7 linked regions of the Oryctolagus cuniculus genome follow. The protein of the gene in region 2 purifies or fractionates together with the protein of the main gene of each other region. This does not show direct contact. Links are inferred from orthologs where the notes say so. Each region holds a gene or a part of one and is shown on either strand. Other genes may lie near its edges. The genes, in order: EPC2, MORF4L2, ASH1L, SIN3B, histone H2B type 2-E, PHF12 and RBBP7.

Evidence for each region.
Region 1: the proteins of MORF4L2 (region 2) and EPC2 purify together in Homo sapiens (affinity purification with mass spectrometry; 5 studies listed by BioGRID and IntAct, counting the BioPlex papers as one, with this or other methods). This does not show direct contact. The link is inferred for Oryctolagus cuniculus from reciprocal best matches to the Homo sapiens genes MORF4L2 and EPC2.
Region 3: the proteins of MORF4L2 (region 2) and ASH1L purify together in Homo sapiens (affinity purification with mass spectrometry; 5 studies listed by BioGRID and IntAct, counting the BioPlex papers as one, with this or other methods). This does not show direct contact. The link is inferred for Oryctolagus cuniculus from reciprocal best matches to the Homo sapiens genes MORF4L2 and ASH1L.
Region 4: the proteins of MORF4L2 (region 2) and SIN3B purify together in Homo sapiens (affinity purification with mass spectrometry; 5 studies listed by BioGRID and IntAct, with this or other methods). This does not show direct contact. The link is inferred for Oryctolagus cuniculus from reciprocal best matches to the Homo sapiens genes MORF4L2 and SIN3B.
Region 5: the proteins of MORF4L2 (region 2) and histone H2B type 2-E purify together in Homo sapiens (affinity purification with mass spectrometry, with the first as the bait; 3 studies listed by BioGRID). This does not show direct contact. The link is inferred for Oryctolagus cuniculus from reciprocal best matches to the Homo sapiens genes MORF4L2 and H2BC21.
Region 6: the proteins of MORF4L2 (region 2) and PHF12 purify together in Homo sapiens (affinity purification with mass spectrometry; 9 studies listed by BioGRID and IntAct, counting the BioPlex papers as one, with this or other methods). This does not show direct contact. The link is inferred for Oryctolagus cuniculus from reciprocal best matches to the Homo sapiens genes MORF4L2 and PHF12.
Region 7: the proteins of MORF4L2 (region 2) and RBBP7 purify together in Homo sapiens (affinity purification with mass spectrometry, with the first as the bait; 3 studies listed by BioGRID). This does not show direct contact. The link is inferred for Oryctolagus cuniculus from reciprocal best matches to the Homo sapiens genes MORF4L2 and RBBP7.

Annotation. Positions count from the first base shown.
Region 1 is NC_091434.1:93,573,965-93,577,906, forward strand, and holds the start of EPC2 (enhancer of polycomb homolog 2), read right to left. Parts: upstream 2,801-3,942; coding exon 2,648-2,800; intron 1-2,647. UniProt on the Homo sapiens protein: May play a role in transcription or DNA repair.
Region 2 is NC_091453.1:89,766,188-89,770,462, forward strand, and holds the start of MORF4L2 (mortality factor 4-like protein 2), read left to right. Parts: upstream 1-1,475; 5' UTR 1,476-1,588; intron 1,589-2,672; 5' UTR 2,673-2,710; intron 2,711-4,275. UniProt on the Homo sapiens protein: Component of the NuA4 histone acetyltransferase complex which is involved in transcriptional activation of select genes principally by acetylation of nucleosomal histone H4 and H2A.
Region 3 is NC_091438.1:43,090,552-43,094,051, forward strand, and holds part of ASH1L (histone-lysine N-methyltransferase ASH1L), read left to right. Parts: intron 1-1,203; coding exon 1,204-3,500. UniProt on the Homo sapiens protein: Histone methyltransferase specifically trimethylating 'Lys-36' of histone H3 forming H3K36me3. Also monomethylates 'Lys-9' of histone H3 (H3K9me1) in vitro. The physiological significance of the H3K9me1 activity is unclear.
Region 4 is NC_091447.1:65,116,988-65,120,487, reverse strand, and holds part of SIN3B (paired amphipathic helix protein Sin3b), read right to left. Parts: intron 2,844-3,500; coding exon 2,252-2,843; intron 2,043-2,251; coding exon 1,873-2,042; intron 1,556-1,872; coding exon of another isoform or gene 1,043-1,555; exon of another isoform or gene 279-1,042; intron 1-278.
Region 5 is NC_091438.1:48,064,846-48,068,835, reverse strand, and holds histone H2B type 2-E, read right to left. Parts: upstream 2,605-3,990; 5' UTR 2,551-2,604; coding exon 2,170-2,550; 3' UTR 501-2,169; downstream 1-500. Other genes in the region: histone H2A type 2-C, read left to right, coding at 2,885-3,274; histone H2A type 2-B, read right to left, coding at 3,435-3,827. UniProt on the Homo sapiens protein: Core component of nucleosome. Nucleosomes wrap and compact DNA into chromatin, limiting DNA accessibility to the cellular machineries which require DNA as a template.
Region 6 is NC_091448.1:44,437,125-44,441,285, reverse strand, and holds the start of PHF12 (PHD finger protein 12), read left to right. Parts: upstream 1-1,361; 5' UTR 1,362-1,953; coding exon 1,954-2,019; intron 2,020-2,665; coding exon 2,666-2,847; intron 2,848-4,161.
Region 7 is NC_091453.1:3,028,796-3,033,030, reverse strand, and holds the start of RBBP7 (histone-binding protein RBBP7), read left to right. Parts: upstream 1-1,435; 5' UTR 1,436-1,798; coding exon 1,799-1,814; intron 1,815-2,640; coding exon 2,641-2,785; intron 2,786-4,235. UniProt on the Homo sapiens protein: Core histone-binding subunit that may target chromatin remodeling factors, histone acetyltransferases and histone deacetylases to their histone substrates in a manner that is regulated by nucleosomal DNA.

The sequences.
Region 1 (3,942 bases), on a different chromosome or scaffold from region 2:
AGAATAGGACCGAGAAAAGTCCTCAGTATCAACTCAGGTTCTATCCAAATCTGGATTTCTTCTTCCTTAAAACTGAGCAGTTAAAGCAGACTTCTAAAAAGAATACAAGCACTAATGCTCTGGATTGAAAACCAAGTTTTATTGAAAAAAGTTAATGACCAAACTGTGACAGGGCTTGTTAAGTGCTTATTTTTAAAAGAACATTTTAAAAATCTGCAAGTTTTCTCCTAAATTAAAATAATAAAACATATGTGACAAGCTTAAGACCAAGTAGGAGCTGACTGCAAAAAGTAATGTACCTTCCAGGGATTAACTGTTCATTCTAGAACAGGTTTTCTGACTCAGGTTCTAAAATAATAGGATCCAAGTAATTTTGTACCCTAGTAGTTCTTTTTTTTTTTTTTTAAGATTTATTTATTTGAAAGGTAGAGTTACAGAGAGGCAGAAGCAAAGAGGGGAGAGAGGGAGAGGGGGAGGCAGAGAAGAGGGGGAGGGGGAGAGAGGGAGGGAGACAGAGAGACAGAGGCAGCTCTTCCATCTGCTGGTTCACTTCCCTGACAGCCACAACAGGAGACTCAGACCCGAAACGAGGAACCAGAAGCTTCTTCCGGGCTCCCACACGGGTGCAGGGCATCCTCCACTGCTTTCCCAGGCCATAGCAGAGAGCTGGCTTTACCCGCTACACCACAGCGCTGGCCCCACTACTGGTTCTTTTAAGCCTGAAAACCAACAAAAACTTCCAAATTTTGTTTCTGTTTTTTAAAGACTTATTTATTTATTTGAAAGAGTTACACAGAGAGAGGAGAGGCAGAGAGAGAGAGAGAGAGAGAGAGAGAGAGAGAGAGGAGGAGAGAATAGAGAGGAGAGAGAGGTCTTCCATCCACTGGTTCACTCCCCCACTGGCCGCAACTGCCGCAGCAGCGCGGATCAGAAGAAGCCAGAAGCCAGGAGCTTCTTCCGGGTCTCCTGTGTGGGTGCAGGGGCCCAAGCACTTGGGCCATCCTCCACTGCTTTCCCAGGCCACAGCAGAGAGCTAGATGGGAAGAGGAGCAGCCGGGACTAGAACCGGCGCCCATATGGGATGCTGGCGCTTTAGGCCAGGGCGTTAACCCGTTGTGCCACAGCGCCGGCCCCAGTTTTTTTAAAGTTCATCAATTAATTCTAATACGTATTATCCTCTTATTTCAATTATCTTTCCCATGAAAAACTGAGCTTAGTTAGGACCAAATTTTATTTTAAAAAAACAAAATTCTCTCATTCAGCTCTAAACCTTAGGCTTAAATTTTGGGCTTTTATCCTATTTACTTTTTAATTTTAAAAACTGATCGTGCATCCTGATGTCACAGCTATATTCATTTTCTGCTGAAAATGTAAGACTTCCAGGTGATCAAACACCAAGGAGAAATGTGATTAAAATCACAGAGGAAAGTAGTAATAGCAGGGTAACGTAATGAGGTCAGAACTCAAGCAGCCAATCAAAGGCATAAAAGCATTTCCTGCAATCTTAACAGTCAAAAGAGAAAACCAATCACGGAAACCTAGAGCTTTCTTTTGACAGTCACAGAGGCAAGAGAACCAATCCACACAGACCCGAGGTTGACAATAAGGCGGGACCGTGGGTTCATTGAAGAAATTCTTGAAGGTGCAGTTACTATGAACTTCGCATGCAAGGAACACCACTCCAGAGTCATAAACACTGTCAACCCAGAGCAAAATTCAACCTTATGCAAAATTTAACCCAGAGGTGGGGGAAACAGCTTTTATGCTACAAGGCATATAATCAAAAACACAGCTGTCAACTTATATGCAGTAAATCCTCTACTTCCAAAAGGACCACCCTCCTCCAACCAAGGCCATGTCGCGGGGTCACAGCGCCGGGACAGCGCCGCGCCGGCGGCTCGTTTCGAGCATCCCCGGTTCCTCTCGAACGCGGCGCAGTGAGCGGAGGCCGCACCGGCGACGCCGGCAGAGCCCGCCCGCCCCGCGCCCCGCGCCCCGCACCCCGCGTCCGGCTCCAGCTGGCTAACCCGGCGTCCCGCTCGGGAGTCGAGGCCTCGGCCCTTTCCCCTCCGCAGGGCCGCACTCGCTGCAGCAGCCCTGGTAGGGGCAGCGACATTCCCTTCCTAGGAGGGGGAAGATGTTTGTTTTGAAAGCGCTTTACTTTCCGTAAGTCATTTCAAACAGCACTCAATGCTAAACCAAACTTAAAACTAGAAGGAACTATACACAGACACGCACACGCATAATCTGTACCAGCCAAAGACACCCTCGCTATTAACTAACCCCGTGCCAGCGGACACTTTTTTTTTTTTTTTTTTTTGAAAGGTAAACAGAGGCCGTACGCCAAGTGCGCCCAGCGCAGCCCCTGCGCCATTCCCGGCCGCCGCTTACGGCAAGGCCCCCTTACGGCAGCGTAAGCGGCGCTGCGAGCTAATCACAACACTGGGACGCAACAACATGGCGGCCGCGGGCGGGCGCTGCGCCGGCCGAGAGGGTTTACGCTACTCCGCCAGCGTAGGGTCCCATGCGTTGGAGCGACAGCGGCGCCCTCCAGCGAGCGTAAAGCGCTCTGTGAATGGCGAGGCCCGACTGACAAAGGGGAGGGGGGAGGAGGGAGAGGGGGGGTAATAAACACTCGAGTCCCTACCGATTCCTCCTCCTTCTCCATCCCGGTGGGCATCTGGGGCACGGCCCGGTTGATGGAGACGCAGTCGTTGAGATCAGGCATGTCCTTGCCGCGGTAGATAGGCAGCGGTTTGGCGGCGTCCAGCGCCCGCGCTCGGAAGGAGAGTTTACTCATTGTCTCCCCGCCTTACAGGAACAGCCCGGGCGGCGGCGGCGGGGCGGGCGGGGAGGGGGGGAGGACTCCCGCCGCCTCCTCCACCTCCTTCCTCAGTGCAGCGCGGCCGGCCCGCTCCTCCTCCTCCTCCTCACTGCCCCCGGCCACAGCATGGGCGCCCACCCCGCCCGAAAACAGCCCCCCGCCGCCCGCGGCCGCTTCCACACACTAGATCCGCCGCTCGCCCGCCCGATCCGCTCCCTGCGCCATGGCCAACATGGCGGACATTACCACAGCGGCGGCGAGCGATCCCGGCAGCCCGCGCGAGAGCGCGCCCCCGCCGCGGGGACGCGCCTCGCCCTCTCCCTCCCTCCCTCCCTCCTTCCTCTCCCTTCCCCTCCCTCGCCTGCCCACCCACTCTCTCCGCCGCGCCGCCGGCCCACGGGAACGTGCTCGGCCTCGGGCCGCTCCAGGGAGAGGGGGCGGCAAGCGGCGGCGGCGGCAGCGCCTTCGGCTCACTGGCCGGCGCTCCCGCGGTGTGGCAGGTGCCAGGTGCGCGAGTTCACCCGCGCCCCAAAGCGTGTGCCTCTGCCTTCCGCGGCGGCGTCAGCGGGCTCGCTGAGTGCCCCTGAGGAAGGCGCCGGGCAAAAGGCGGCCGCGCCCAGCAGCGCCCGTGTGCAGAACTCTGTGAGCGGGAATAGATGTCGACCAGGGCCCCAGCAGCCACCGCCGGAGCCTATGCTTAGCGCTCCGGGCATCTCTGGGAGGTGCGAAAGGTCGGCGGTCCCCTCGGCCCGCTCTGAGGGGCGCAGCTCTGCACCGTCTCGCCGGCTCTGAGGGTGCTTAGGCGCCCCAGCCCCTGTTCTCCGCATCCGCCCTCCAGTACCTGTCCGGAAGAGCTCTCCAAGGTATGGCATCCTCTCTCGTCCTCGCCTGCTCGGGCAGGATGCTCATGGCAGCCGTGAGGGCGCTGGATGGAGGCTTGCCGAATGCAACAAGTGAACTTGAACCTGTCCCTCAAACTTGAGTTATTTAGTGGATGATAGATATTTCTCCGATTTCAAAAATAGCAGGGGTCGTCAAAGTTCAACTTAGGACGTTTGACCAAGGCAGCACACGTTTCCGAAGCGGCAGATGTGTGTGTGTGTTCCGCTGTGTTGCGA
Region 2 (4,275 bases):
CATTTCAGTAAGAGTAACTCCACTTTCACCTTATATATTCACATCACCATAATATTTTATTTGGGGTAGGGAGGGGGAGCAAGGGAAGAGCTTATTGCTGCTTTAAAAAAATTTGAGAAATGAAACTACCATCAGGGCTGGCATTATGGTGCAGCAGGTAAAGCCACCATCTACAGTGCTGGCATCTCATATGAGTACTGGTTCAAGTCCTGGCTGCTCCACTTCCAATCCAGCTCCCTGCTAATGCACACAGGAGGGCAACAGAGGATGTCCCAAGACTTTGGGCCCCTGTACCCATGTGGGAGGCCTGAAGGAAGCTCCTGGCTCCTGGCTTCAGCCTGGCTCAGCACTGACAGTGGCAGCCATCTAGGGAGTGAACCAGCAGATGCAAGATCTCTCTCTGCCTCTCCCTCTCTGTCTGTAAGCCCTTCTGCCTTTCAAATAAATAAATAAATCTTTAACAACAACAACAACAACAACAAAACTCTATACCATCTGTAACTGTCACAGGTAAGCCATTTAACCAGTCAAGGGATGTTACAAGTGTATTATTCGGCTAGTATTCTAAGAGGACCTTGCTGTTTGAGAACAGACTAAACTGAAGGACAGCCATGACAAAGGAATATAATAATTGGATATCATGTCTAGGTCTAAGACCCTCTTCAAATTATCAACCTACAGAAACACGAAATACTTGTCACCCTACCTCTCCTTACACTTACTATCAATGCCTGGCTGAGGCCTCTAGGCTTATCAGTTCTCAGTTTAATGCTAAAGACAGTCCTGACCATCAAAGGACAAGAATGCTTGGGACCACTGGTCACAGCAACACATTTGGTATCTTGACTGCATTTAACTTTCAACACTAATTCTTCTATATAGAAATAAAGAGGTGGCCCTTTGGCTGGTGCCGTGGCTCAACAGGCTAATTCTCCGCCTAGCGGCACCGGCACACCAGGTTCTAGTCCCGGTCGGGGCGCTGGATTCTGTCCCGGTTGCCCCTCTTCCAGGTCAGCTCTCTGCTATTGCCCGGGAGCGCAGTGGAGGATGGCCCAAGTGCTTGGGCCCTGCACCCCATGGGAGACCAGGAGAAGCACCTGGCTCCTGCCTTCGGATCAGTGTGCTGCGCCAGCCGCAGCACGCTGGCCGTGGCAGCCACTGGAGGGTCAACCAACAGCAAAGGAAGACCTTTCTCTCTGTCTCTCTCTCTCTCCACTCTGCTTGTCAAAAAAAAAAAAAAAAAAAAGGTGGTCCTTTTAGAAACCTAATGAATCATGGGATTTCCCATAAGGTAAGTGGGTCAGCAGGTCACAATGTCCCAGAATTCCAGAACCTGGCATAACAGAGCTGGGAGGGCCTTCCCAGATCATTTCAGTCTTGTCGCTTCATCAGACAACATGGGGTATTGAGGGTCCGAATGGGCAAAGCCCAGACCCTACTTGTAACCTCCTTTTTCCATTAACTCATTTGTAGCTGTGAAAGGAAAAATAGAATAGAAAGGGCAAGACTAGAGAGACTAGAGTATTATCACTTATTAGCTCCAGAGGCTCACTTCTTCGACTTCCTGAACTGAGACTCAAGGCTAAAGGTAATCTTCATCAGAGGAAACTGTTCCTATAATGACTATTCAGTCCTGAACCTCTTCCTTGTCTGTCTTTTGACTGATACCCAGGTTCAATTATCATAGTCCCCATAGGAAGGGGATAGCCAAATCTTGGCAGCAGGATCATATTACAAAAATAAAATGGTCATGCCAAGCTCCACATCCTATAAATTTAGGGTTTCCTCCACTAGAGTTTCTTTGTGAATTCCTTAGACTTATACTTCCTTTAGCCCTAGCTGGTATCATCATTTCATTGACCTAAGCTGCAGGTTGGTTCTTTCAGAAAGAAGAAAATGCGGTTTCTCATTAATTATCATTTTTTCTATATTTATAATTAATTATATCTTATAATTATAATCCACTATTCTAATGAAATGTACTACACTGATTTTGGAGTTCAACCTTTCCTATCCTATTTCATTAAGATTTCAAATTCCAGGTATATAACCCTCTTCATCCAGGGCCCTCAAGAGACAAGAACAACAGATTATGGAAATGAATCCATTATCTTCTTTCTGCTACTTATGTAACCTCTCTAATATCTTAGTGGTGGATTCATGTTTAGGGTAAATGATTAAAGAGAGAGAGGAAAGGTAAAAACAAATTGCTATAGCTTTAAGATGTCACTGATTCCATCCGGATGGTATTCCTCAAGCAAGAAATATCCAGTGAGGACTGCAGCTACAAAATTGTCTCCATTTCCTCCCTTTGTCTTTCTGTGGGGTACGGGTGGGTGCACACTGCCTCTATGACATCTTCCAACCAAATGAACAATTTTACATGTGGACATAAGCACATTTGGCCATAATGTCAAAATTCTGGTTTGAAGAACCAATAAGCAAATTTCTTCTGTTTTTAGAGGAGGGGTTGGGGAGGGGAAGAATCAGGAAGGGAGAGTACATGAGTCCACAAGATAATGAGAAGGCTAGGGTTTGGGGAAAGCTAAGGTTAGAACTATCTGGGTTTTGCTTGATTATTCATTTTGCTTTGTGTTTTCAGAAGTCAGTGTTCTCTCATGAGTTCTTCCTCTCAAAATTGAAAACTTTTAATGTTTTCCCTTCGCATATAGGTGGAGGACCAGTCCTTGAGACCAGCTTTCACCTGCAGGTGCGTCATCTCCCTTGGATTCATTCACAAATTATGGTGGAGTAGCTACCACAATAGGAACTGTGCTAAACACACAGTATACACAGTTAAGAAGAAACTTAGCACTTAGCCTCATAGATCTTGTATTCTAGCAGGGAAGACAGACTTGGACTAAGTTCCTGGATGATAGTGAGATGGAGAAAACGGGGTGGGGGGGTGTTGTGGAAATACGTAAGAGGGACACTGACCTACTCGTGGCCCAAGTTGGGGAGGGAATGTCTAGAAAGGCTTCCCTGAGGCAGACACATTTCAGATGTGACCTGAAAGAAAAGGAAGAAGCAAAGCAGCAGGAAGGACCAAGGAGACAAAGGAGAAGGAAAGTGCGAAGTGTAACAGAGCTTTGAAGAGGGAAGTGGTATAAAAGATTCTCATCTGAAAAAAAAAATCTGACCGCAGTGTGGAGAACAGATTGTAGGGAAACCACAGTAGGTCAGCAGGTGAAAACAGTGGTGTCTTGCAAGGAGGCGTGTCACAGGTGCTGAGGGAACAGAAAGCAAAAGCACTTAACTAGAGGCTGGGCATCAGGGAAGGGCTCCGTAAGGAAGTAACATTCCAAGTGAGACTTGCAGGCTGGGTTCGCCATGGTGAGGGAAGTGAGGGAGTGAGGAGTGAAGAGAGGCCCGGACACTAACCTTCTCCTTTAACCAAAGCAGGTCTCATTTTCACTAAGGACCTCGTCCTGGTCTGGAATGCCTGGTACCTTTTCTTCCTAGCCAAACAGTGCCTATGTTTCTACAGCCCTCCCCAGTGCCAGGTCCACTGATGACACCCCAATACGACTTACTGTTCCTGCTTATAAATTTCTATTCCATACGTATTGCTAAGCATTAAAGATCTACTATTCAGGGTAGTTACTTAACTTCACACAGATTCACATGTAAGCTACTTGGATTTGCAAACTCTTTTCTATTACTTTAGCATCATCCAGGGTATCTAGCACAATGAGGGACTGTGTGACACAGTCATTGAATGAATGAATGAATGAATGAGGCACTAGAGTCTCTGCAGACCTCCTTTAGATATTCACTATTATCCGTGAAGCTAATAGGAAAGGGATGTACTTTGTGTAAAAGATTCCTACAACTTGCATGCGAAGACCTGAGATCTGAAATTGACTATTCCTTCCCACTGGTCACTGCTTCTCACCCCCTTGCAATCCTGGTCCCCACCCCGCCCCCCCAACCTTCTATTGTTTCTTCTGTCTTCTGGTTGTCAGCCAGGATGAGAAAATGGTCAAGCTGTCCTCAGAGACTTACGCCAGCCTGGGCTGCTCTGCAGTGCCATGAAGGGCCAGGACTTTTGTTTACAGCTGGGAGCATGGCGAGGCGGTGAGCACAGCTGACAGCCCCACTCTGGGGCAAACATCAATCTTCCTCTGTCCTCTCAGCCAAGTCTCACAGACCAGCTTTATTGAAAGCTGGCTGCACCCGCCTGGGCTCACTGATGTCCCACCCACAACTCGAGCCTGGGAGTAGCTGGGTGAATCTCAGCTTTGTACCTTTTAGGAACTGCCCTTGCTCTCCTCT
Region 3 (3,500 bases), on a different chromosome or scaffold from region 2:
TACTCTGTCACAACACCAACTCCAGTATTAATTTTAAATTGTTGGATTCGGTGCTATGGCTTAGCAGGTAAAGCAGTGCCTTTGATGTGCCAGCTGCTCCACTGCTGATCCAGCTATCTGCTAATGTGCCTGGGAAAAGCAGTGGAAGGTGGTTCAAATGATCTGCTACCCATGGGGGAGACATATAGTGTTCCAGACTCTTGGCTTCAGCCTAGACCAGCCCTGGCTGTTGCAGCCATCTGGGGAGTGAACCAGTAGATGGAAGATCCCTCTCTCTTGTCTATCTAATTCTGGCTTTCAAAATAAATAAATAAATCTTTTTAAAAAACTTTTCAATTATCTTTTCTATCCTCATACATTTTAAGAAATGACTGCTCTTTCAAGTTCTTTAAGGGAATTTGACTACTCACTTAAGACTATATAGTGAGTTAAAGAAATAGAAGTAGGTCAGAGATTGTCCCATATTTGGTTAGATTTTATTGAAGTCAGTGAGGCAGATAGGCATTAAGCTATTTATTTTAAAAGGGGATCATGGGTTACTATAGCCAAAAATATTTGTTTTAGTTAGTGAAAAGAAAGATGAAAGTGATAAACTATAACTTCACATTTAAATATATCTTAGGGGCTTTTTTTTTTTTTTTTCGCCAGGCAGAGTGGACAGTGAGAGAGAGAGAGACAGAGAGAAAGGTCTTCCTTTTTTCTGTTGGTTCACCCCCCAAATGGCCACTATGGCCGGCGTGCTGCTCCAATCCAAAGCCAGGAACCAGGTGCTTCCTCCTGGTCTCCCATGTGGGTGCAGGGCCCAAGCACTTGGGCCATCCTCCACTGCCTTCCCGGACCACAGCAGAGAGCTGGACTGGAAGAGGAGCAACCGGGACAGAATCCGGCGCCCCGACTGGGACTAGAACTTGGGGTGCCAGTGCCGCAGGCGGAGGATTAGCCAAGTGAGCCACAGTGCCAACCTTGGGGCATTTCTAAAGATCCAGTAATAAATATGGTTGAAAATCAACAAAGACAGTATCTTGATAGCCTCTGTGATAGCAGCAGATGAACTAATATCCCAGGCCATTAGAGTCACATTAGTTCTTTTTAAAGTTCTGTTGTAAATCTTATATCTGATGTGTTGAGTTTGTTGGAATGTAAAGCTAAAGCAAAGTGGTATCAGGTTTACTCTCTGAAACCTTTTTCTTGTTCAAATTTTAGGACCCTTCCAAGTTGTACAAGAAAGCAGGTGATGTTGCAGCCATTGAATGCCAATCTGAAGAAAGCATCCATCTTCATTCACAGGGAGAAAGCACTCCTTTGTCCAAGAAGCTTTCTCCAGTACACTCAGAAATGGCAGATTTTGTTAATGCATCACCATCTACTCTTGTTGGTAGTCGGGATCCTGATTTAAAGGACAGAGCATTACTTAATGGAGGAACTAGCGTAACAGAAAAGTTGGCACAGCTCATTGCTACTTGTCCTCCCTCCAAGTCTTCCAAGACAAAACCGAAGAAGTTAGGAACAGGCACTACAGCAGGATTGGTTAGCAAGGATTTGATCAGGAAAGCAGGCATTGGCTCTGTGGCTGGAATAATACATAAGGATTTAATAAAAAAACCAACTATTAGCACAGCAGTTGGATTGGTAACTAAAGATGCTGGGAAAAAGCCAATGTTTAACCCAGCAGTAGGACTGGTCAATAAAGACTCTGTGAAAAAACTGGGAACTGGCACTACAGCCGTATTCATTAATAAAGACTTGGGCAAAAAGCCAGGGACTATCACTACAGTTGGACTGCTGAGCAAGGATTCAGGAAAGAAGCTAGGAATTGGTATTGTTCCGGGTTTAATGAATAAGGAGTCTGGCAAGAAGTTAGGACTTGGCACTGTGGTTGGACTGGTTAATAAAGACTTGGGAAGGAAATTGAGTTCTACTGTTGGCCTAGTGGCCAAGGACTGTGCAAAGAAGATTGTAGCAAGTTCAGCAATGGGATTGGTTAATAAAGACATTGGAAAGAAACTAGTGACCTGTCCTGTGGCAGGACTGGTCAGTAAAGATGCCATAAACCTTAAAGCGGAAGCACTGCTCCCTACTCAGGATCCACTTAAGGCTTCTTGTAGTGCAAACATCAGTAACCACGAAAGTGAAGAACTTTCTGAATCCCTGAAAGACAGTGCCACCAGCAGAACTTTTGAGAAGAATGTCATTCGGCAGAACAAAGAAAGTGCACTAGAAAAGTTCTCAGCTCGAAAAGAAATCATTAATTTGGAGAAAGAAATATTTAATGAAGGATCATGCATTCAGCAAGACAGTTTCTCATCCAGTGAAAGGGGATCTTATGAAACCTCAAAGCATGAAAAGCAACCTCCTGTATATTGCACTTCTCCAGACTTTCAGATGGGAGGTGGTTCTGATGCATCTACAGCTAAATCCCCTTTTAGTGCAGTAGGAGAAAGCAATCTCCCTTCCCCATCACCTACTGTATCTGTTAATCCTTTAACTAGAAGTCCACCTGAAACTTCTTCACCGTTGGCTCCTAATCCGTTACTTCTTAGTCCTACCACAGAACTAATGGAAGAAATTTCTGAGTCTGTTGGAAAGAATCAGTTTAATTCTGAAAGTACCCATTTGAATGTTGGTCATAGGTCCATGGGTCATAGCATAAGTATTGAGTGTAAAGGGATTGATAAAGAACTAAATGATTCAAAAACTACCCATATAGATATTCCAAGAATAAGCTCTTCCCTGGGAAAAAAGCCAAATTTCACTTCTGAATCCAGTATTCATACAATTACTCCCTCAGTTGTTAACTTCACTAGTTTATTTAGTAACAAACCTTTTCTAAAACTTGGTGCGGTAAGTGCACCAGACAAACACTGCCAAGTTGCTGAAAGTCTAAGCACTAGTTTGCAGTCCAAACCATTAAAAAAAAGAAAAGGAAGAAAGCCTCGGTGGACTAAAGTGGTAGCAAGAAGCACATGCCGGTCTCCAAAAGGGCTAGAATTAGAAAGGTCAGAGCTTTTTAAAAATGTTTCCTGTGGCTCACTATCAAATAGTAGTTCCGAGTCAGCCAAGTTTATGAAAAACATTGGATCAACTTCGTTTGTAGATCATGACTTCCTTAAACGCCGATTGCCAAAGTTGAGCAAATCCACATCTCCATCTCTTGCTCTCTTAACTGATGGTGAAAAACCGTCTCATAAGTCTTTTGCTACTCATAAACTATCCTCTAGTATGTGTGTCTCTAGTGACCTTTTGTCGGATATTTACAAGCCCAAAAGAGGAAGACCTAAATCAAAAGAGATGCCTCAACTAGAAGGTCCACCTAAAAGGACTTTAAAAATCCCTGCCTCTAAAGTATTTTCTCTGCAGTCTAAAGAAGAACAAGAACCCCCAATTTTACAGCCAGAAATTGAAATTCCTTCCTTCAAACAAAGTTTGTCTGTGTCTCCTTTTCCAAAAAAGAGAGGCAGGCCTAAGAGGCAAATGAGATCACCAGTCAAGATGAAGCCACC
Region 4 (3,500 bases), on a different chromosome or scaffold from region 2:
TGGATCATTTCCAAAACCAACCAGGCCAGACCACACCAGCCGCAGCCAGACTGGACCACACCAAACCCGACAGCAGATACAACTAGACCAGCAAAGCACCCCAGTGGAAACGCTCGCCCAGAGGAGACGGGAGGGGGCAGGGAGCAGGACCCAGCACCGGCCCCTGCGGTGGCCACGCCCCGAACGCCCAGCTGGGAGTGTTTACGATGCTTTCCCCACTGTGATCTCCACGGACATGGCCGGGGCGCTGGGCCTGCGAGGCGGGGGCAGGGAGGCTGGGAGTGTCTTCCTCGGGACATCGGGCAGGCGCAAGCCACGCGGGGTTTGATGCACGCGGGCACCCATCAACTGCTGCTGCTACCATTATTACCGATCTCCAGGGCACAGACCGGGCCTCTCTCTGCCACCAGTTCAGGCTGACCGGGACCCGGGCTCTCCATCCGGGTCTCCTATGTGGAGAGCAGGGATCACCTGCTGCTGCCTGGGAGCCAGAGTTGGGACTCAAACCCGGGCACCCCCGTGGGCCGTTCATCTCCGGGAGGCCCGCGCTGCCTGTGCTCCTGGCCCGGGGCAGGCAGAGTCCCGGACTCTCCTGCTGTCACTCAGGACCCCAGCACTGGGGCGCACTGGCAGGGAGCCGGATGGGAAGCGGAGCAGCCGGGACTCGAACCGGTGCCTTTTTTTTTTTTTTTTTTTTTTTAGTATTAGGCAGGTATTTGTCACAGTGGATCAGGCGCCACATGGGACGTCCACAGTCCATGCCAGTCCCCGGGTTCAAGGCCCAGTTCCCGACTCCAGGCTCCTGCTTATGCACGTTCCGGAAGGCAGCGGTGTGGGGTCAAGGACTCGGGCCCCCGCCACCCACAGGGCAGACCTGGATGGAGCTGCAGCCTGGCCCGGCTCTGGCTGTCGCAGGCATTGGGGGAGCGACCCAGCGGACGGAAGACCTGCCTTTCCCTCTGCCTTGCAAGTAAACCTTATGAAAAGGGAGGAAACACGCCTCCTAGAATGCTCCTGCGGCCGTGTCGGGTTTTCCCCAGCTTCACAGTGAACAGCGGACTTGACAACCAGCAGAATGAAACCACAGGGGGCAGGAACTGGGCAGCGCCCGCGTCCGGGCGGGGCCTGCCTCCCGCAGCTGGCGCTCCCGTGAGCACAGCCCTCCCCAGCCAGCTTCCCGAAACCAGCGCGGACCACCGCCGCGCACATCCCCACCGCGGGTGGGGGCCACGCACGCAGGAACAGCGCAGGCCCCCACCCCACCCTGCCCGGCCACTGGGCCCGCTCGCCGCGGTGCATCCGCACAAAGAACCATCACTCCGCCCGGAGACCAAGTGAGGCACCCGCAGCCGCGACCACCACGCGGCTGAAACTCGAACGCCTGACGCACAGTGCCCCAGGGCCCGCGACTGCGCGGACAGCACACGTCCAGAGCAGGCAACACCAGGGACAGGAAGCCCGGGGCGCGGGGGGGCGGGGGGGAGTGGGGGGGCGGCTGCTGAGGGCGCGGGGTCTCCATGTCCGGGGGCGGGGGTGGGTGGGTGATGAGAACGTTCTGCAACCAGACGGGGGTGCTAGTTACACACTGCGCCAATGCAGGGTGAGCGCCCCCGCCCACGATGCTCCAGGCCGGAAGTGCGTGTGCGAGTGCACACTGAGGAGCTGTGGGCGCGGGCCCCGAATATAAACAGGAGACTCACCTTCTATCCATACCGCCTGCACCCGGGGCACTGTGCACCAAGCAGCCCCCCCAGCCCCGCAGCCCCCCAGTGCTCACAAAGTCCCGGATGCCCGGCCTGAACGCTGGGGACCTCCCGACTCTGCACGCTGCCGCCTCGGGGTGAGGCTTCGCGGCCAGCAGGGGGCGCTCACCTGCCGGGCGATGTTCTGCACCAGCTTGTCCATGGTGAAGCCGATGTAGGCGTGGATGGTGAACATCTCGCGCAGGGTGTCCTCGTACTGCGTGGGGTCGATGCTGCCCTCCAGCAGGCTGCGCACCATGTCCAGGAAGGCCGGGTAGTACTCCTCCAGCTCCACCTCACCTGCGGGCCGGGAACCCCGCATGCAGGCGGCCGCCACCTGCCTGGCCCCGGGCGACCCCGGTCCTCCAAGGGCCAGAGCGCGCCGCGGGGGCTGCCTGGGGGGTGCAGGGGCCCAGGCCCTCGGGCCACCCTCCTGCGCTTCCCCAGGCGCACCGGCAGGAGCTCCCGGCCGGCTGCTCCGCCCGCCCCGCCCGCGGCCCCCGGCTCACTGGGCTGCTTGAGCCGCAGCTCCATGGCGGGGTCGCTGCCCCTCTCGCGGCGGCCGTCGCACAGCAGCTTCTCCCGCTCCTTCTCGCGCCGGAACTCCAGCAGCTGCTTCTGCGCCTGGCGGTAGATGCGCAGCAGGCGCGCGCACAGCGTCTGGTGCAGCCGCAGGAAGAAGTACCAGTTGTTGTTGGCGAAGAGCAGGCTGTACACGTCGTCCAGCAGCGGCGCCACCGCCGCCGCCGCCGCCGCCCTCTCCTCCGCCGGCCCCGGCCCCGACCCCGACCCTGGCTTCCTGCGCTCGGCCGCATCCCCGGCCGCGCCCTGCCCAGCGCCCGGCGCCCCGTCGCGCTCCTCGTCGGCGGACTCCTCGTCGGCGCCCAGCTCGAGCTGCTGTGAGAAGAAGAGGCTGGGCAAGAAGTGGTGCAGCAGCTGGCGGATGGTGCCCTGGTCCTCCTTCTGGATGGCCGGCTGCCGCTGCACGTAGTAGCTGATGAGCGCCGCCGCGTCCTCCAGGATCTGCCGGTCCTCGTACACGAAGACCAGGTGCGGCTCGCTGGGCGGCGCGCTGCGGCCCTCAGAGTGCTGCTCCTGGTGCTGTGGCGACAGGGCACGGCCCGCGTGAGGCGCCTCCCCCGCCCCCAGCCCAGCTCAGCTGCACCGGAAGCCGCACCTCCTCCCTGCTCCCACCCCGCCCCCCCCCCCGCCCACTCTCGGGGTCCAGGTGGACTTGGCCACCAGGTGGCTTCCCCGCCGAGCACCCCCCAGACCTGGCCCAGGTCTCTGCGCACCCCGTGCGCCCTCTTGCCAGGTGCGGTGCCCAGGGCCTTTGCACGTGCCACCTGCCCTTGCTCCCTGGAAAGCCACACCCCGGGCGCGCTCCTCCCTGAATCCTCCCGACCCAGACGGCGCTACTTGCTGCTCCAGCCCCGCCCCCCTCCTGGCACCTGGAGGCTCTCCTGGGGGGCCCCAGCCCCCAGGTACCGGGCAGAGAGACACATAGGGCAGGGCCGGGTCTCCCTCTAGCTCTCGGCGGCCCGGCCAGCCTGGGCTTGCCGAGAGGAGCAGCCCCGGGCCCCCCTTTCACAGGGGCTGTTCCCGCTTCTGGGGCCCTGAGACCCTGGGGCCCAGCTCAGCCTCCTGACTGGGGCCCCGGGCACCTGCGACTGACCTGGGCAGGGAGCAACCTCCGTGCCTCAGTTCCCCCACCGCTAAAACCACAGAGGAAGGTTCCCGGGTGCGGGCAGAGGGGAC
Region 5 (3,990 bases), on a different chromosome or scaffold from region 2:
CACAGCTATTTCCCCCCTAATCCAGGGAGGAGTCCAGGTTCTCAGAGAGCAGCCCTGCTTTCTTACATCCTTTTAGCACTAAACAAGGAGCTTTTTCTCTGGTGAGTTTCTGAGGAAAGGCCGCTCTGTGGCTCAGTTTCCCTCCCTGTCCAGTGGGAGATGACAAGTCTACCTACTTTAGGAGGCTCTTGTGAGAATGAGAGAATGTTGTGCATGAATCGGGAACACATGTTAAGTGTCTGTCGGTGTTAGCCCACCTTGGTTAAGGACTGTATGTCTTCCACGTTGTTTGTAGTGCTTCTTCTTCATGCTCACGTATTTTGCAAGGACTGCGGAAAGCCTTGTGACAGCCTGGTTCAGCCCCATTGCCCATCTGGGGTAAAAGTTTAGCTGACGGCTTCTAAATATTCCTTCTCCACCCTTTCCACACATGTACCCAGTGGTGACTGTCCCTGTCAATTTCACTTCATATATGGCCGATAAAAGGATATAGCAAAGCCTTAAAATGAGTTGGGCACTTTATTAATAACAGCATCTACACAGATTTGAAAGCACACGCGCAGCAGGCTCAAGATCTCAGCCTATGATTTGCTATGTGGAGCACATCTGGGTTCACAAAACCCTTGCAATCAACTCCAGGAGCCCTGAGCAGAGTCCAGTTACTGAGCACTCAGGACCTCCCCTGGCACCATCAAGGCTCGGACAGGAAGATTCGGTATTGCGTAATTGCATCAGATACGACCAAAATACACCTGTGATCACATCGCAGAAGACAAAAGCAGCGCTCGCTGTGTGAGGGATATTGCAGCTCTGTCTGCTCTGCTTGTTAGGGCCTCCTGAAAAAGCAGCCGGGTTGGTGGGGATGAACTGAAAGCTCCTCCCAGTGTGAACAGAGGGTGAAGGCTCTTCTCGCTGACCACTGCTCTCAATTGAACGGAAACCTAAAACGGGTCACCCTAAAGCGGGGAGCCTGCGGGGAAGACCCGCTACTGCCGCCTCCTCCCGATGCAAAAAAAAAAAAAAATCTTGGCACCAGGCCTCCCCCCACCCCTCACCCGCCCCAAAGCAGTTGCACCGAGGTGATTAACGACATATTTGGTCAAGGAGCTACAAAAACATTTCCATCTTCATCGTATCTTCACATCTGATGGAAATAAACAGCGCCCACCCCCCACCCACGGAAGCGATTACGAAATTGGCGGGATAGAAAAACGAATCCGTCGATATCGGTTCAAGCCGTTTGTGTCCGCTACGTGCCAGGCACTGATGGGCGCTGAAGATACGGAGGAAAAGCAGGCCAGCAGGGCCTTTGTCCCGGTTTGAAGAAAGACCATTAACGAGAAAGCAAATGAGCCAGCGAATTTCAGCCAGCTGCGTGGACGAAGATGAAAACACACAACAGACAGGGCCAAAGGGCAGGCTCCTGAGCGGATGCCGCTGGCAGCGGTTCTTAATCCCCGAGCTAAACCACCCGTGTCTTGCAGTGACCTGGGGCAGGCTTCCCAGCACAGAGCATTAAATGCAAAAATCATTTACGGACTTAAGGAATCCTAGGACTCTCCAAGCTACAACGTCAGAGGCGGAAAACAAAGTCTTTAAGAATTCTCGAGTGGCGCGAATTTTGAATATTCATGCCGCCCAATCAGGAAAAGTCTGACCCTCAGCGGCGCGGGCTCCGCCCCAGAGCACAGCACCGGTCACCCGCAGGCCCGCAGGCCCGCAGGCCGAGCCCTCCCCGCGCCGAGCTGGCCACCCCGCCGCTTCCGGTGCTAAGCTGCTGCTGTACACAGCGGCCGCCGGACGCGCCTACTTGTGTCCTGCAGTCTTCCTAAACCAATAGCTGCAATCAGCCACTCGAGTTTAAGACGGCCCAGCGTGTGTAACAAAGCCGCCCGGCCACTGCCGCAACGCAGAGGGGTAGGGGCGGGCCATCGCCGCTGTTAGGAGTGAAGACGCACTTGGCACTCAACGCAAGTCCAATCACGCGCCGGGAACCTCGGGGTCGGAACGTCTTAGAGAATGCCAAGTACTCCACCCCCACTACGTCTGGGCTGCAGTAACTTACTTGTGCGAAGGGACTAAGGGGGGACGTTATGTGAACACGGCTCTTTCCCGATCAGATGGGTGGCTCTGAAAAGAGCCTTTGTGGGTTAGCGGCACGGCAGGGCCTCACTTGGAGCTGGTGTACTTGGTGACAGCCTTGGTGCCCTCGGACACGGCGTGCTTGGCCAGCTCGCCGGGCAGAAGCAGGCGCACGGCCGTCTGGATCTCCCGGGACGTGATGGTCGAGCGCTTGTTGTAGTGCGCCAGGCGCGACGCCTCGCCGGCGATGCGCTCGAAGATGTCGTTGACGAACGAGTTCATGATGCCCATGGCCTTGGACGAGATGCCGGTGTCGGGGTGCACTTGCTTGAGCACCTTGTACACGTAGATGGAGTAGCTCTCCTTGCGGCTGCGCTTGCGCTTCTTGCCGTCTTTCTTCTGCGCCTTGGTGACAGCTTTCTTGGAGCCCTTCTTGGGCGCGGGCGCGGACTTGGCTGGCTCGGGCATGGTAAACACCACACCAACGCGATACAGCGGGGAAAAGGAATAAGAGGATGGGCGGGCCTGATCCTCTTATAACCATCTTATGCAAATTAGGAATCAAAATGGCTTTCGTTTCCATTGGTCCGTGCAGGAAAGTTGCGTTTTCGGTAAAAGCCTGCGTAATGACAACAGCTCGACTTTATTGGCTGTTTCTGAAGCCATATTAGGACCAATGAAAAGCTCGTTCCTGACCCCACCCCCAGGGAAGCTTATAAAGGCTTTCTTCGTGGGTTCCTTTCAATCTTGTTTTGTTGCGAGGTTCTGCGCCCTAGCTGGGTTTGGTTTCTTTTTCTTAACTATGTCTGGTCGTGGCAAGCAAGGAGGCAAGGCGCGCGCCAAGGCCAAGTCGCGGTCGTCGCGCGCCGGGCTGCAGTTCCCCGTGGGCCGGGTGCACCGGCTGCTGCGCAAGGGCAACTACGCCGAGCGCGTCGGCGCCGGCGCGCCCGTCTACATGGCGGCCGTGCTCGAGTACCTGACGGCCGAGATCCTGGAGCTGGCGGGCAACGCGGCGCGCGACAACAAGAAGACGCGCATCATCCCGCGCCACCTGCAGCTGGCCATCCGCAACGACGAGGAGCTCAACAAGCTGCTGGGCAAGGTGACGATCGCGCAGGGCGGCGTGCTGCCCAACATCCAGGCTGTGCTGCTGCCAAAGAAAACCGAAAGCCACAAAGCCAAAAGCAAATAAATTTGACGACCTGAACCAAAGACCAAAGGCTCTTTTTAGAGCCACCCAAGTTGTCAAAGAAAGAGCTAACGCGCTGCTTGTTATCAGCCCTCCGCTTGACACTGTGGTGGCTCTTAAAAGAGCCTTTTGGGTGGACGGGAGTGGTGTCACGCCTAATCAATCACTTGCTCTTGCCAGGCTTGTGGCTCTCCGTCTTCTTGGGCAGCAGCACGGCCTGGATGTTGGGCAGCACGCCGCCCTGCGCGATGGTGACACCCCCGAGTAACTTGTTGAGCTCCTCGTCATTTCTCACGGCCAGCTGCAGGTGGCGCGGGATGATGCGCGTCTTCTTGTTGTCGCGCGCCGCGTTGCCCGCCAGCTCCAGGATCTCGGCCGTCAGGTACTCGAGCACGGCCGCCAGGTACACCGGGGCGCCGGCGCCGACGCGCTCGGCGTAGTTGCCCTTGCGCAGCAGCCGGTGCACCCGGCCCACGGGGAACTGCAGCCCGGCGCGCGATGACCGCGACTTGGCCTTGGCGCGCGCCTTGCCGCCTTGCTTTCCGCGTCCAGACATGACGGCTAAAAACCTGATTTCAGCTTGTTTTTCTAGGAGAGGCTATGGAAAGGATAGGCAATTTGATGTAATTTATAAGAGCTACCGGGAGGGGTGAAGGGAGGCAGTTTTATTGGCCGAGAGCGGCAGCCAATAGGAAAGCGGCACTCGGCCTTTCGGTTTG
Region 6 (4,161 bases), on a different chromosome or scaffold from region 2:
CAGAGAGAGAGAGAGAAAGGGGGAGGGGGGAGAGAAGCAATTGAAAAAAAAGTTTCATTCCCACGTCTGCCATAAATTCATTATGCGGCCTCTCTGTGCCTCTGGAAAGACGAGAATGAAATCAGATGGTCTCTCGGCCCCTCTCAGTTTTATGACTCTGAGAATGCGTGTGCCGTAACATTAGACATGGGCAGGACACCGCTGTCAATCATGCTACTTAAACGCCCACTTTTAGGCACAACGATGCGGTTCCCTTCTTCACTGCTTCATCTACCGTTGGGCAGCAATAACTGGTCACCTCTGCGGGCAATAGCAAGGGGAAGGGCGAGCGCCCTGGAAGAGAGCATGCATCCCCGCCCAGAATTCGAGGTGAGGCCCTAAGACTACAAATCCCAGCATGCAGCACGGAAATTCTCAAAAGCATCTTCCCGACAAGCGAATTACTCCTTTCCTTCCTTCCTACAGTATAGTGCGTTTCAAGCTCACGGAACTACGACTCCCACAGTCCATCAGACCCATCGCGATGCTTGCTCCCAGGGTGCCATGCGCTCCCGTCCGCCCTTTTGGACCCCCTGCGCATTGCAATCTGGGAGTGGGAGTCCTCTGTGGGCCGGTAGCTGGGCGTTGTCAGGGATTACAAACTCTAAGCCTCTTGAGCAGTTCTCAGAACGGTGGTCGAGAGAGGGTGGTAACGGGCAGGCGGAAGTCTCCATGGTGCCATCACCACGCAAGGCAGGGATGCTCGTTCTAAATTTAATTGTCGGGAGCAGGAGGGAAGTGGGGACGGCAGCCACCCAGCCAAAGCGTCGCTTTCTGTCGCACTGGCTTTTCTTTTCTCTTTATCAACATGGCGGCCTGGTCCAGCCACACCTGACGCTGGAACCAACTGTCCAGTCCAACACCTCTATGAATACTGCCATCACCAGCAGCCTACCAGCTCTGTCCAACATTCCTTGCCCCTTCCTGTTCATGCTTGAGGACTACAAGGACACGGCAGCCCTTATCCCATTACTAAAATGGCGAAAGGAGCAGCTTTCTTTGAGGGCCTGCAGGTGACGATACGCCTGCGCGGGAGGCGGTTGTGTTATGGGGCGGGAGGGGAGCATCCCCAACACGCCTGCGCGGGAACAGAGCCCTCTCGGTCTGCACACAAACACCAATGGATGAAGAGTCCTCGGGTTCCTGCGGCTGCGCTGTGACCCCTAGGAGCTTCCTCAGGCGCCTGCGCGAGACCTCGGGTCCCGCCCTTTTATCTCAGTACGCTGGCGCAGGGCAGGAAGGCGGGGCTCCGGGGCTCCAGACGAATGCCAGCGCGGCTGCGCGCTGGGGGGTACCCCCTCACCGCGGCTGCGCGGGAGCCCGGCCGCCGGCTGTCACTGCGGTTGCGCGCGGCGAGCGGCGATCCCCGGGCGCCTGCGCGGGTGGCTTTGCGGGCGCTCGCGGTAAGTTTGCGCCAAGTGCGCGGCAGCCGGGACGCAGACGGCGGCGGCGGCGAGAGGCGGAGCCCGGGGACCACCCCCCATCACCCTCCCCCCCAGTCACCTCACGTACCACAACCTCACCTAACCTCTCACCCCCCCCTCCGATCCCCCTAACCCCGGGATGGCAGCGCCCGCCAGCCTTCCCGGCCGGACCAGCGGTCGCCAGCGCCGGCTTTAGCCTGTGGGACTAGGCCCCGCCGAGGCCTGACCCCCGGAGCCGGGACCCACTGTGCAGCCAGCCGCCGGGCCGGGGCTGAGGGGCCGCTCCCCCCTCACGGCCCGCGGGGAGGACGCTGCCGTCCCAGGGACTGGGGGCCGGGGGGTGGGGGGGAGCCAGGGCGAGGAAGTCGGGACCCGTGTTGGGAAAAAAGAAGGGGAGCCGGGGTCAGGAGCACCCCCTCCCCCCGCCTCCCCCCTCCCCCCGGGGTTGGGGGGGCCGGAGCAGAGAGCGCCCAGCCCGGGAGGTGGATGAATGTGGGAGAAAATGGAGACCAAGACGATCGTGTACGACTTGGACACGTCGGGGGGGCTGATGGAGGTAAGAGTGGCCCTCCTCATCCCCTTCCCCCAGCGCCGGGAGGGAACCTCCGCCCTCCGCCCCACAAAGCCGGCCTGAGCTCGGAGCGCCAGAGGGCCAGGGGAGGGGGGTTTCTTCCCTGCTCAGCCTCTCCCTCCCATCTCGGCGATTCGGGGGGCTGAGCTCAGCCGCCGAGGACGTTTGCAGCAGTTTCACCTACCCGCCGCCCTCGATTCGCTTTCCAGAGGCGCCAGCCCACTCCATCGCGTTGCACCGGCGGGCCTCCCCACCCCCTTCTTGTCGGCCCCTTTGTGCTTCCTCCCGCACGTCCGGGTACCGGGCTTCGGGCCTCTCCCGAGCCAGGCTTTGGAGTCCCCCACTGTCCATACAAGGAAGTGGCGAGAAGGGAACCGCGCACCCTCTCCCCATCCCCCTACCCTGATCCTCCCCATTTGGAAGAAGCTGCGCTCGTTGTTGTGCTGCAGAAACGCGGTTGGGGTGGGCTCCCCCTGGTTCCGGGGGCTGAGCGGTTCTGGGAGCAGCCTGGATGGGAGGAAGAAGGACAAAAGGGGGGAGAGGGGTGGGTGACGGAGTAGCCGCGCCGGGGGGTCGACGGGCCGCCCGGGAGCTCCGAGTGTGCACACACGCCGTTTGTATGTGTGTGCAGCAAATCCAAGCTCTGCTGGCTCCCCCCAAGACGGACGAGGCGGAAAAGCGGAGTCGGAAGCCTGAGAAGGAGCCGCGGAGAAGCGGCAGGGCCACCAACCACGACAGCTGCGATAGCTGCAAGGAAGGTGGAGATCTCCTGTGTTGCGACCACTGCCCGGCCGCCTTCCACCTCCAGTGCTGGTAAGGGCTGGCCTCCTCTCGAGCCCCTCGGCGGACCGCTCTCCGCACATTCCTTCACCTGGCCTGCCCCTGCCTGCCGAAATAACGGGCGCCTGCAGCCGCTAGCTGACTCTCTGCAGCCGCTGGGGCGAGCGCCTCCCCGCCCCCAGGTGTCTGCCGGGATCTGGCCGTTTCGGGGCGGGGGGGGGGGGGAGCGGCGGGGAGGAGCAGCGTCGAGCCCGGACCCCGAGGTGGGGGTTGGGAGGAATGAGGAGAGCCCCATCTGGGATTGGAAGTCGCAGGGGAGCTGGGACCGAGCCGGCCGGGCACGGCCAGAGGTGGCGGGGGAGGAAGGGGAGGAGCTCCGGGCCCAGAGCCGCTTGCCTGCCCGCGCGCCCGCCGCTCTCGGGGCTCCTGCCCGGCCGGGCTCTCCTCCGGGTGGGTGCGCGGAGCCCTTGGCCGCCCGCGCTGCTCTGGTGCAGGCCCCGCTGCCCGGCGTTTGCCGCTGTGGAAGAAACGGAGAGTGGCTCGAGTCGGCCTCTTCTTTGCCTCTCTGTTTACAATATGGCGACCTGCCTTTAAATTATATTTTTATTCTCAGCGCCATTTTGGCTGCATATATGATTTGCAAACGTCTCTTGGAGAACGGTGGGGGCAACTCCGGAGTCCTTTCTGCAGAAGCTCCTCGAAGGCCGGGGCTGGGATCTCGCCGCTTTGGTCCCCTTTCTCTGCCTCCGTTTGCCCCCTGTTGCCTCTTGGAGCTACTTCCCCCCTCCGCCGCAGCCCCCCCTCCCCACCGCTGCTGCCTCTTAGGAAATCGGGCCGGGTTAGACAATTAAAATTGCCCTTGGGCTGCGATTTCACTTCTCCTTCCCGGATCGAGGAGCCCTTGGCCGCAAAATTCTTAGCTGCAGGGGTAGCCTTGTATGCGATGGAGCCAAAAAGGCATTTTTAAGGAGCTGAGAACTGGAAAGCTGTGCGCTTCCTCCTCCCCCCCCCCCCCGCCCTTACTGAACGCGAGGGGAGGGGAGAGACCCAAGAGAGTGAGGGAGGAGGGACCTGGGTTGATCGCCCGCTGCTTGATCCTCCTCAGCAGCTCAGCCCAGAACAATCCGGTAAAGAAGAGTTTTGAAAATCAGAGCTTCTGCCTGAGAGAAGTCACCTCGCTGCCTTCCACTAAAATCCCGCATCTGCGCATCCAGCCCAGATTGCGTCTGGTTCTACTGGGTCGTGTTCTGTTTGGCGGGAAGAAGGGGGCTGTGCTGTGTGTTCCTACCCGGTTTTCCATGGTGCCTTTTTTTAGTCCTGTTGGCGGGGGGGATTTTTTCCTCTTTA
Region 7 (4,235 bases), about 87 Mb from region 2:
TTTTATTGGAACATGGCCAGGTTCGTCCATATTCTCTGGCTGCTATTGTGTTACAACACAGCGGAGTCTTGTAGTTACCCTCAGGGCCTAAAATATTTGTTATCTGTCCCTTTTAGAAAAAGTTCACCAGTGTTCTGGAAGATGAGGGCTGAATGTTGAAACACCATTCCAAACCTCTTCTCTCTCTAGCCAGTCCGCACTAACAAGATTCCTGGACCTGACATGGAGGGAGGGCGTTATGATAACGAATTGTATCGTATGGGAAACCAGAGACACGAAACAGTAAATTTCTATATAAGGGCATATGACTGGCTCTGCCACAGAACGTCTGGGTTTGTTACCAGATCAGAGAAGTAGGTACCATAGCCGCGACTGCACACTTGCATTTGAGCATGAAAACACTTGGAAAGCTATCAAGGCAGCAAATGTTCCGGGGGTGCTTCTTTGTAAGGGGAGCCTCGCTGTAGGCTGGCTGTGGACTGCGGTTCTCTGGGCACGTAGGCACCCTGTGGCCTCCCCCTCAACTCCGTGCCCTCCGCTCCAGGCCCTCAAGTTCATTGTCTTCGTTCACCTTTTGGCCTCACAGCCCCCATTCTCCTCACCTTCACTCACTCCTCAGGGACCACGGAGTTCCCAGACAGAGCAGGTAAACAGCCCAGCCCAGCTCATTCCAGCTTCCCTAGCTTGGGGTGGGGTCGCCCTGGGACCCCTGCAGGGAACAAGAATGACTCAGCAGGGGTCAGAGCTGGGACTAACAAAAACGCCAATGGAAAAACAAAATCCCCCATAGCACAGAGGCAGCAAACCAACTTAAAGACCTAGACCCGCGAACAAACGCAAATGTGATTTAAGGCGGCCTAGCGGCCTAAACCACCACAGGCCTCACGTTTAACCTAACAGTGGCCCGGCGGCTTCTGCAGGCAGAAAACGCCCGCAGCCTCTCCAAAAGATCCCCTTCACTTCCGAGACACCCTGCCTCGACCTGAATGGTCCCCAAGAAAGGCAGTCAGCTGGATGGGAACCTTTCTGGGGTGCAGAAAATTCCATGTCCGTGATTACTGGGGAGACTTTGAGGGCACAGTAATCTCTCGAGAATAGGAACCATTTTCCTCCCTTGCTCTGAGATTTTGCTTGGCTAAGCGGCGGTAGTCTCCCTGCCCCCCACTCCACCCCAACAGTCGCTGCTGCTTCAAGCAACCACGCCCCGTGGGCCTCAGGGTTCGCCGCCCCGGGGCTCTAGGCCCCCGCGCAGCCCGCACGCCGCGCCTGCATTCGCCCCGCCCCCGCGCTACCCCACCGCCCCCGCGGCCGTCCCTAGGAGCGCCAGGAGAGTCCGCGCGCCTGCGCCGCTCCCACTTCCTGCCGTGGGACGCCCCGCCCATCGCCAGAAGCCCGCCTCCGAACGCCGCGTGAAACACGCCCGTCGTACGTCATTGGTCGAGACAGCGGCGCCGTTGGCTCCCAGGCCCGCCTCTCCACCGCCTCTCACTTTTCCCAGGGCGGTTGCGCCTGCGCTCAGCTGCCTGGGCGGGCTGTGAGGCGCGGGTTGAAAAGTCTCGTTCCAAGTTTGGAGAGAGAGAGAAGAGCGCCTCAGACCTCGGTATCCGTGAGCGAGGAGAGGCAGAAGAGAAAGGCGCAGCGTCTGGGGAAGAACCCAGGCAGCGAGACGGAGCTCAGGCTTTGAAAGCTAAGATTGTGTGACGCGCCAGCGGAAAGGCAGGAGCGCCAGCGGTCGGGCTGCGTTTGTCTAGCGAGGGGAGTCCGAGGAGGCTTCGAGGGGCGAACGACCCGACGCAAGATGGCGAGTAAAGAGAGTAAGAGGCCCTGCGGGGCGGCGCGCGCCGTGGCGGCGGGGGGCGGCGGGCGCGCGAGGCCGCGGCACGCGCCGGCGAAAGGCGCGAATTGGCGTGAGGAGCAGGGGGCGGGGCCGGGCGCGCGCCTTCGGGGGCCTGAGCGGGATGGGACCGCCGCGCGGAGGGCTAGGAATACTTCCGGAGCCGGGCGCGGGGCCGAGGAGTGGGCCCCCTCCCCCCTTCTTCCCGCTCCCCCCCTCCCCGCTCGCGGCTGCGCTCCCTCCGGCGCCCTCGGCCCCGGGGCGGAGGCGGTCTCCGCTGTTCTGAAGCGAGCACGGCGGCTTCTGCGCGCGCACGTCCGCCGCCTCGGGGTCGCGGCCCTTGTCCGGGAGAGGGGGGTTGTGGAGTCCGCCGGCCTATGGCTGCTATCGCCGGCGTCGTGGGAGCTGGGGCCTCTCGTGGCGGGGGATGGAGGGAGCAGGCCGATGGGTTTCTGCTACACGTGGATTTGTCTCCTTGGGTGGGTCGTGGAGCCCCTCTACATACAGGTCGTCATTGTGGAACAGGTGCGAATAGCTGTAACGGGCTAAACAATTCGTGTCCGTGTAGTTAGCCAATTCTGTATACGCAGAAGACAATCTCAAAATGGAAAAAAAAAGGAGCTTCCCGGTGGTAATATTCTCACCACGTTTTGGAAGAGCAGTTAGTTGTTCGTGTCCAAATTAGAGGCAGAAGGAAAGAGTAGACTAGGTGTGGCAATCACGAGGTGACCTCCATGTCTGTGTACAGATTGTTGACTTCGATCCCTCTCAACCACTTAATCGTATGGACTTTCTCCAAATTTCAGTGTTTGAAGATACTGTGGAGGAGCGTGTCATCAACGAAGAGTATAAAATCTGGAAGAAGAATACACCGTTTTTATATGACCTGGTTATGACCCATGCTCTTCAGTGGCCCAGTCTTACGGTTCAGTGGCTTCCTGAAGTGACTAAGTAAGGATTTCTGGTTACTTTTATTTTTGAGTAAATTTATCATTCTGAATTTTCTAGTTTTGGAGTATTTTATGCCTCCAGTTGTACTTAATGTTTGTGGGAAAATGAAATTAAAAGATGTTTATTTTGGTGCAGAAAATCTTGAAATCCACACATAGTTTTTCTATGAATTTTTTTAAGACCCTCCATTGAACATAAGCAGGTAATCAGCCCCTGGAAAAGGTGGAAGGTAGTTTTTATTTTCAAAGCCTAAGTGACATAGTGGATGATTTCTGGCAAGTAAGTGTGATGGTATAAAGGAGGGACGATGTTGTGGGATTAATGACATTTGTAGAAAATACTGGATGTGAATATGTTTTACACTGTTTGGACTTAAATGTAGATTGCAATCTTTCTGGGCTGCAGACTAACACATTTCTTTAAAATTATTGACAAGTAGTATACATTAGAGATGTACAGATAGTTAAGCATTTGGTTTGAATCTTCACATAGTGGATGCACATGTAATCAGCACCCATGATGAGTAAGTTTTAATTGGCAAATGGAAAAAGAATTTTGCAACAGTTCTCCACAGAAAAGGTGTTGTGTTGTTTGGGGGCAGGAGTTACGGCGCAGCAGGTTACACTGCTGCTTGGGATGCCTCTGTTCTATGGCAGAGGGCCTACTTTGAGCCTAGGCTACTCTGTTTCAGAGCTAGCATTCCTGCTAATGCAGCTGGGAAGGCTGCAAGATGGTGGCGCAAGTATTTGAGTCCTTATCACCCATGTGGGAGACTGAGATGGAGTTCTTAGATCCTGGGTCTCACCTGGCCCAGCTCTGGGGGTTGTGGGCATTTGGGGAGTGAACCAGTGGATTAAAGATATGTCTCTCTTTTTTTGTTATCATTCTTGATTTGCCAATGAGGAAATGTCCTGAGAAGTTAAGTACCATGGCCAAGATAATAACAGCTTTGCATTTTCATAGTAGGAATTTGACCACATACTTTAAAAGTGTGTTGCATGTGGGTATTGTGAGAAAGATAGTTACAGAGAGGCAGAGAGAGAGGTCGTCTATCCGTTGGTTCACTCCCCAAATGGCTACAATGACTGGGGCTGGGCCAGGCCAAAGCCAGGAGCTTCTGCCAGGTCTCCAACGTGGGTGCAGGGGCCCAAGCTCCTGGGCCATCTTCCACTGCTTTTCCAGGCCATAGCAGAAAGTTGGATCGGAAGTGGAGCAGCTGGGACTTGAACTGGTGCCCATATGGGATGCCGGCACTGCTGACAGCGGCTTTACCTGCTGTGCCACAGTGCTGACCCCCAATGAGCTTATACTTGAGGATTAAATCAAACTCTAATCCAGGAAGAGGATTTTGTGATTTATAAGCATAAGCTAATTTATATGAAATTACTCTTAGGCCAGATTCTCCATAATACTAACATTGACTTCCCTACAAATGGTAGTTTCTTGTTGG